2 linked regions of the Danio rerio genome follow. The protein of the gene in region 2 purifies or fractionates together with the protein of the main gene of each other region. This does not show direct contact. Links are inferred from orthologs where the notes say so. Each region holds a gene or a part of one and is shown on either strand. Other genes may lie near its edges.

Region 1 (4,273 bases), about 14 Mb from region 2:
TAAAAAAAATCCAGTCCACGATTACTTTTTGTATTGAAAATACGTCATTTTGTGTGTTTTTCCACCAATCAGTGACAGATTTATGAATTTGGTAATTAGGAATTTAAACTGTAATTTCCTAAACAGTTTAGTAGTTTTGATCGGGACTGAGGTTGATTAACAGATTTATGGGAAAACATATTTATCTGATGCATTTTTACAGCAGTTTAAATTAGTGGAGGTTTTCATCCCAAACATAACAAAAGGGTAGCAAAATTGCCCAGAGTGTATCGTTAAGTTCTTTAAAAATGTCAAAGCATTTTCCAAAAACGTGTCAAAATTAAATTTGTCGCCAAAGTCGTTCTGCTAGTTGAAACAGAAAAAGTTGACCAAATGAAGACACAAAATCACCCCAGAGTGGATGAAAACACCCTCAACAGCACACAGGGGTTAACTGAAATGAGGGATGTGCTAGTAAAGGAGTACACATGGAGGAAAAACATGAATTGGTCATCTGTCACTGCAGACTGATGGATAAACCGACAGGCAACAAGGACTGTAAACACTGAAATCGGTGTTCCCATAAGTCTTCAAAATGTCAGGGACAGCGTTTTCAGAGACGTACAAATATCTGACGTACCTGATCTGATGTGATTCTTATGTGCTGAACGGCCAGGTTTAATGGTGAATCTGAAAAAATGAAATATTAATTTAAACAAGTGTTACGGACTTCCTGTCATGAGTTAGTGTTTCAGATGAGATTTTCTGCTTTTGTAAAATACACACTACTCCTGTTGGAGAAAACTCAGGACAATACCAAACACATAAAGGCAAACACACACATACACACACAAACATTAATGAATGCCCATGAGCTTTATAAGGATTTGAGCTGTGTACATTTTCTTCACTTTTTAACTGGTGTGTATTTTTAGTGTTCAATGTCTACTGAAATACAAACCTATTCTAATACTTAACAATGAGGCTTAAAATAGTTGAAATTTGTGCACCACATGCATTGACAATGAATAGTTTGTTAATTGATTAATAAGGATTTACTCATGTTTACATACTAATCAAATACATTCCCTACTGAAAAATCAGTTGACCAGCCTGGTTTTAGAGGGGTTTTGGCCATTTCCAGGCTAGTTTCCAGCCATTTCCAGCCTGGTCTTAGCTGGTCAGGCTGGAAAATGACCAGCCAAATCCAACTAAAACCAGCTTGCCCAGCCTGGTTTAAGCTGGATATAGCTGGTTTTGGCTGGACTCCCAGCTTGGCTAGGCTGGTCAAGCTGGTTTTAGCTGGTCATCTCCCTTTTTTTTTAAGGTAATGTTAATACATGCTGTATAAATGCACTGTTAGTTTATTTAGTCGACGTTTTATTTGTTAAAGTATAACAAATGACTGTAGTGTGTAATGGAAAAAAATCAATGGTAAAAGTCCTTTTAGTTGCGTCCGCTTGACCCGGAAGTTTTCCTCACCCTCTTTTATTGTCAACATGGCGGTGAATCTCACTGAATTGTCTCTTCCACAATTAGAAGGCTTGAAAACTCAGCTTGATCAGGTAAATTGTGTTAAAAATAAAAAACATCATCGTTTCGTATGTCCGAGTAGCATCAGGTGCTGCTGTTTTTCTGTCAGTGAATTAATTTACTGACGGGCTGCGGTTGTCATGCTGTCTGTGCGCGTGCTGCTGCTGCTGGTAATGCGGAAAAAAAGCCCTCTATGATTGTCCACATGGCTGCATTTATTCCGTATGACAGAAAATGAGATGCAGAATGACTTTATCGACGTTCACTTGCATTGTATGTGAATGGTGTCTCAGTCAGTTCTCACTAAACACAACTTGGTTTTATTTTAACGAGTTCACAGTTTGAAATATATTTTGGTACCAAGTCTATAATCTGTATAAGATTAATTTAAAAGACTAATTTTGTTTTTCTGTGAGTAAACTTTTGAAGTTTACATGTGTCCTGATTATCTGTTTTATTTTGACCGTCATATTTATTTTACTGTATTTTACAGAAGACCCCAACAAAAATGTCATAACAATAGTTTATATATATTAAAAATTCTGGGCAGCCATATTTTTAGACCAAGATTATTTTGATGGCATTTAACTATTTAAAGGTTGAACTGTAGCTCCCAAATTCTAATTATTTTTCTTTTTTTAAACATGCATAATTTGTCACTATCCTTCAAACCCTTTATTTTACTAATTTTTACTTTTAAGGTTTAAAACCTTGACTATTCCAAACCTTGCCGGTTTACCTTGCAAACAGTTATCGCCCCATACCTAGTACAGAATAAGTACTATGTTTTTCCCATTTTTAAATAAATATATATGTTGCTCTGAATTACCCTGACATTATTTCCTAAATTATTATTATTGTTAATTATTTGATAGATTTTCACTCATTTTTTGATTTTATTTTTACAAAAGTTATTTGAAACATTTAAGTTAACACTTTGCTTGCGTTCAGTGTGCTTTCTGTGAATATAAATGCAATAATGTTAATTTACTTTGAGACACCAAAAAGGGACATCTCAAGGTAGATTTACACGTTATTTTGTATAAATTGCTTAAAAATGTGTTTTCTAGGAAACAGAGTTCCTGTCATCGTCTATAGCTCAGCTGAAAGTCGTCCAAACAAAATATGTGGAGGCCAAAGACAGTTTGAATGTGCTTAACAAGAGCAATGAAGGTGACTTTTAAAACTCTTTTATGACGTTTTTAGCTAAATCTGACGTTTGCTAATTTTTTTTTACTTTTTCTCTCAGGTAAAGAACTACTCGTCCCTCTCACCAGTTCTGTATCCTCTAAACAGCTGAGTTATAAATGAGTTCTGATTGATTTATGCCACATAAGAAAGTCACACAGACAGTTTGATGTGTGTGTAATTAATTTGCAGTGGTCCGTTATTCCCTTAACCTCAGTCATGTAGATGTATGTACCTGGAAAGCTGCATGATGTGGATCATGTGTTAGTGGATGTGGGAACAGGTTATTTTGTGGAGAAGGTGAGTAAGAATCAGTCTAGTAGTTTTAGTATATGTAAAAATGTCAAAACTGAGTAAATCACATTGCCTTTTCTGTCTTTTCAGAATGTAGAGGACGGCAAAGAGTTCTTTAAACGCAAAATCGACTTCCTTACTAAACAAATTGAAAAGATTCAGCCTGCTCTTCAAGAAAAATATGCCATGAAACAAGGTGATTTTCTTGTCTTTTGAAAAACATGTTTCTTATGTTCACCATAGCTGATAAAAATACAGTACATTTTTATTGTATTTCTTTTTTCACTATTTTCAAGTAAGCCTGTCACAATAATCAATATAACGACTGAGCGTACAACACATGGACATGACCTCAATCATTTTTGGTGATGCAATATAAATCACACATACATAAAGACCAATTCTGGCAATATTTTAGGTGTTTGTGCAACATCTCTATCTATTGGAGATGTCAGTATGGTTAAAAATCACAATTTTATTTACTATAGATTACTGTCGTATATTTTCATGTGGGTGTCTAACAACTGAAAATAGATCTGGGGTCCGTTCTTCGTACCTCGCTTAAATGATATAAGATGATTTGGCAGATCCTGGATCTTTTCATCTTGATAACTGATCTCTGGCTAATTTGGTTCTTCAAACAAGTTTGCGAATCCGATTAGAATGTCTGGATAAACTGATCTGAGATCGCTGCATGTGTTGTGAAGGACAGATCCATCGATCCTCGAAATCATGATCAGCAATGCAACGATTGGCTGACGGCACAGCAGCGTAATGACATCATCTGAATAATATTCAATTATCCATGTGAGCAAAATTACATCAAACAAGCAGTAAACGGTTTGTTGTGAGCTGCAGGCTTAACACTTTCATGTGTCAAGAGTATTCATTATGTATTTTAAAGCATATCAATGTATTTAGTTCTACATTTAGAGAAGATTTTCTTTATTATAGTAGCTTAGGCCTACTCAAGTTTTTTTTAATTGGAGTAAGGAATAACTGTATGAATTAATTTTCCATCAAAAAAGCATTTTGATAAAGGTGAAGGTGTCTGCAACTTTTGTGAAGCAACATATCACCGGCATATTGGCGATCACAACATGTGCATGACTGCATAAATCAGTATCCTTTTTTTAAAAAAGTTGAATATTGTGCATTTGCATTGTATTTAAAAAGTTCATATCAATACATTTTCTCTTTGAACCACCAGGTGGCAGTCTTTGTACTTATTTCGGAGTGCAGATTGCATAAGTTTTATTTATCTATATATTTCTTAAAT
Region 2 (4,139 bases):
AAAAGTCTGCAAGTTTGCAGTATACAACATACTTTATAGAAATTCTATGAATTAAACAAAGCAACCCAAAAGAAACAATGCTAATTAAAAGGATAAGAGTTGTTCCTCTACAGAGCAAACATGACTTATTTTACCTTAGATTTTTGCATTTATGAGATGAAAGTTATGGATGTGGCAGATGTGAAATTGCCACTTGTGTGACTTTGCTAAATCAAATATAATAGTTTGAAAACATTGACAGAGAGATTTTTGAGTAGTGTAAGCACTGCAAAGTATTTGCCAACACCAAAAATGTAGAAACAGTTTCGTTATTTTGGTTGAAGCTTAGTTTTTTCATGACAAGGCTGACATTTACATGGAAATGCTCAAATCTCAACATGCTTGCATTAAAACACCTGCGAAAACAAATGGGCGTTAGTTTGAAAATCAAAATAGATATTCAGAATTACATTATCTGAATAGATTTCAATTATTCCATCATAATTATACACATATCAGCTTCTGAGGTGCCCACTGCGAATCAATCTGATGCTTTTAGTTATCCACAATTACAAAACTGCATGTGTATCAATGCAGATTGCACAATGTATAATGCAAATGGATTACAAGTAATGCTTCAGCAAATGTAACACTGCCGAGTAAAACATGAACAATGACTATAATAAACATGATAAGCAAAGAACCAACTTAGGTGCATAAAAAGCAGGATGTCTGGGAGGGAGTTAAAAACAACAATGTATGCAATGAATCATCCATTATGCTTTTGTTTTAAAATAAAATCAAACAAAAGTGCATTATCTAAACACAAAAGGGTATTGTGAGAGCTTATGTGCATGACTGCAAAGAAATGTCTACATTTATAGCACCAGAAGCACAAGTTGAAATCAACAAAATGTGAACGATCACGTCACGGTGGACTCGAAACACTATTTGATATTTCACAATTGCATTTCGCGTCATAAAGGATGAGGTTATGCAGCTTTAGGTGCCACACAAAGAGCATTTTATTTAAAAAAAAACGATAAACTCTAGCTTCAAAATATGTTCCTGGAATCGTTTTTAAAACAACGAGCTTCGTTTAAGAGCAAAACGGTGCTTTTTTCGGCGTTTCAGCGGGTTAAATGAACGGCATGCTGATATGAGTGCGGAGAGGGAAGCCGGAGAGAGAGGCTACGGACGCCATCTTGTTCTTGGGCCCCACATTGAAGAATTCATTGATTCCGTTTATTTATTCATGAACGGTGTTCCTTTATCTAAATGCCAGCGAAGAGAAAGGCAAACTCGATCGGTAGGGGAAAAAAGAAGGAGGGGGCGCAACATATTTATCCCATAGCCTATATTTCCCCGACCAATCCCTTAATAGTGACCTCAATACTGAGCCGCTAGCCCGTTCTTAAAATATTCCAGCAGCGATGATAAAGGCCATCCGGCTCCATTCATTTCGCGTATCTGAAGAACTGCAAAGCTCTTTGCTGCATTACTCTGATACACGATCGCAGGAGAAAACACATCTAGCAGGTCTTTTATTCTTTATCGTCAGCAAAAGCAATTCAGCGAGAATCGTAGCGGAGCATCACCGAGATGTCGCGAAGAGAGGCAGTGCACCTATATACCTGAACAGCAAAGGCCCTTTAAACACAGGCTTAATGAAATCCAATTAGGTTGTTTAAAAGAGTAGTTAAAAGAAGCAGCGCACACTTAACGCAATAAACATTAACACGAGCTAAGTCGCTTAAATGCACACGGGATTTCGGATTACGCCATTCTGACTCGTAATAAATCCATCTCCATGTAAATGTGTGTAGGGGAAAACACACTAGGACGGCTTGTAATATACAGCCAGATGGTGTAGATTGCAATAGACGATCGGGTGAACAAATAAATGGCTAATCTTTATTTACCGACTGCATTTCGATCAATATTCACTTGTAGTACACGAGAGTGTGTAAACCAGCATTTGCCTAACCAAAAATCCTCGATTCTGTAACACAGAGGAAGGCCTAGCTGAGCTGAAAAGCCGAATATTTTGCCAGCAGAAGCTCCGGTAATTAGCCTGTTAGCTTACAGACCAGCCTCCAACCAAAACCCCCCAAACTTAACATTTAAAGCAATCTTAATTGCTATTAAAATGCCCCTATCAAGCACATTACTGAATTCCCCCAAACCTAAATTGGTTTAATTCTGAAGTAACGCCGATTTTTGGGTGCTAACAAGCGAACTCGCACTAAACGGCCTCCGGTTAAGTCGGCCGACTCAGTTCACGCCATAATGACCGAGCGAGAGATTAAATGCACTATAAATTCACATTAATAAAACACACACGATGATAACTGTTTAAAACAACCGTTTTTCGCATATTTGCCTGCCACTGTTGTGTATGTAAATCGCTCGGCTAGCCGCTACCTGCGCCTCACCCCACCCCCCTTCATTCTCTATGGTGACCAGCATTTTATCCAACAAATTCACCCGATTAGAACGAAACATTCAGTTCCACACACTTGAAATAAGCACATAGTGTTCCATACCTGTTCTCAGTCGTAAATGGCCTTTGTTTATATGGCATTGACCGAAAAAAACGATGGTGTGGCTGTCAAATCCACGCATCAACGAACAAGACGAGCTAGCTCGCTAACTAGCAGCGGGAGAAGTACCGAGTCCACTTCCACAGCGACAAAACTCGCTCCGGCGGGCGGGAAATGAGCCTGTACGAGGGGGGATCTCAACTGCGAGGAAAAGCTGCACTCATAAATGTCCGATTGGAGACTTTGGTCAGCTAATAAGTCCGTCGGTGGCCACTTCCCGTTGCCTTCCTTGAAGGAACACTTCTCTCCAGTTCAGTTCACCTCTCATCCGGCCATCAGACGGAGATGGGCGCGGTAACCCTGCAGTCTGCCCTGGGAAACCCCACGCCGCAGCGCACGGGCGAGCGGCGCTCTTACGCAGGAATGGAATTGACAGAAACATTTCCAAGCCAATTTAGCAAGATTTGAATACACTGATGTACTTTTTAAAATGCTTAACGTTTTTAAAAATATTATACAACCCATATTCCATTAATAGATTAACCTGAGCAAAGACTTTATGGAGAAGACCGAGGCTTTGTCACAATTTACTACAGAACAGGTTTTTCTCTATAGGTTTAGCTGTACTTTGTTTGAAGTGAGATTTTGATATAGGCACAAGTGCAAATTTAGAGATTTATAATAATAATTATATTAACAAAATCATTTGAGAAAAGTATTGTTTGCTAATTCTGAATAGTTAAATCATATTCGCAGCCAATGACTATCAAAGTAGTCCAACAGTGTTGATGTTAATAGTGCTAATGTTGTTTTGAGAAATCGTGTAGGGGACTTATATAATTACAGTGAATTTATTAACACTTTTGGTTTAAAAAAATACTTTGAATAAATACAAAAAAAAATGTGTTCATTGTATCTCCCTAAAATAAATGTACCTTATTAAAACCACAAAAATATATAACCATGTATCTGGCTCTCTTCCAGAGCTTACTATTAAGGGCCTCTCTATCATGGATAAAAAACTGAATAACAATTATATCAGGAAAATCCTGACTGCAGATAAAAGTGTTCCTCTAATAGCAATGGTTAAATGGAAACAAGCATTCCCTTCATTCTTTTCCCCCAAAACTCTGGTCAGATTTTACAAAATACATACTTCCCAATAAAGTAAAATAAACTATTTGTAAAATATTACATAGATATTATCCATGCAATGGTTTTATTAGTAGGTTTAAGGAAGGTTTTTCACCTTTGTGTTGTTTTTGTAAAATGGAACTGGAAACAATTCTTCATTAATTTTTCAGTTGCAGTTACACAAAACGGCTTTGGTCCCAAGTTTTCTCACTACTTTTTGAAGTGTATTGTAAATTTATCAATATAACTGATAAAATGGTTTTATTTATGGACTGCAACTCTGGGAAATGGACAAAATAACAAAAAAAATCTTATTTTATTTGGAAAGTATCACATCCGCAAAACAAAATGTATGCTGACTGTATTAAAGTGTAAACTATTCTTCATTGATCTAAATAATTTTATGATTCCCTCACTTCTATACAGAGTAATACTAAAGTTTAAGACATCCCAATTGCTGGAAAAATACTTAATGTACATAAT

What was found. The genes of interacting proteins can lie anywhere in the genome.
Region 1: the proteins of gnb1b (region 2) and pfdn5 purify together in Homo sapiens (co-immunoprecipitation; 3 studies listed by BioGRID and IntAct, with this or other methods). This does not show direct contact. The link is inferred for Danio rerio from reciprocal best matches to the Homo sapiens genes GNB1 and PFDN5.

The regions. Positions count from the first base shown.
Region 1 is NC_133181.1:42,215,186-42,219,458, reverse strand, and holds the start of pfdn5 (prefoldin subunit 5), read left to right. Parts: upstream 1-1,472; 5' UTR 1,473-1,478; coding exon 1,479-1,544; intron 1,545-2,582; coding exon 2,583-2,685; intron 2,686-2,761; coding exon 2,762-2,793; intron 2,794-2,925; coding exon 2,926-3,000; intron 3,001-3,084; coding exon 3,085-3,190; intron 3,191-4,273. UniProt on the Homo sapiens protein: Binds specifically to cytosolic chaperonin (c-CPN) and transfers target proteins to it. Binds to nascent polypeptide chain and promotes folding in an environment in which there are many competing pathways for nonnative proteins.
Region 2 is NC_133181.1:56,065,045-56,069,183, forward strand, and holds the start of gnb1b (guanine nucleotide binding protein (G protein), beta polypeptide 1b), read right to left. Parts: upstream 2,805-4,139; 5' UTR 2,526-2,804; intron 1-2,525. UniProt on the Homo sapiens protein: Guanine nucleotide-binding proteins (G proteins) are involved as a modulator or transducer in various transmembrane signaling systems.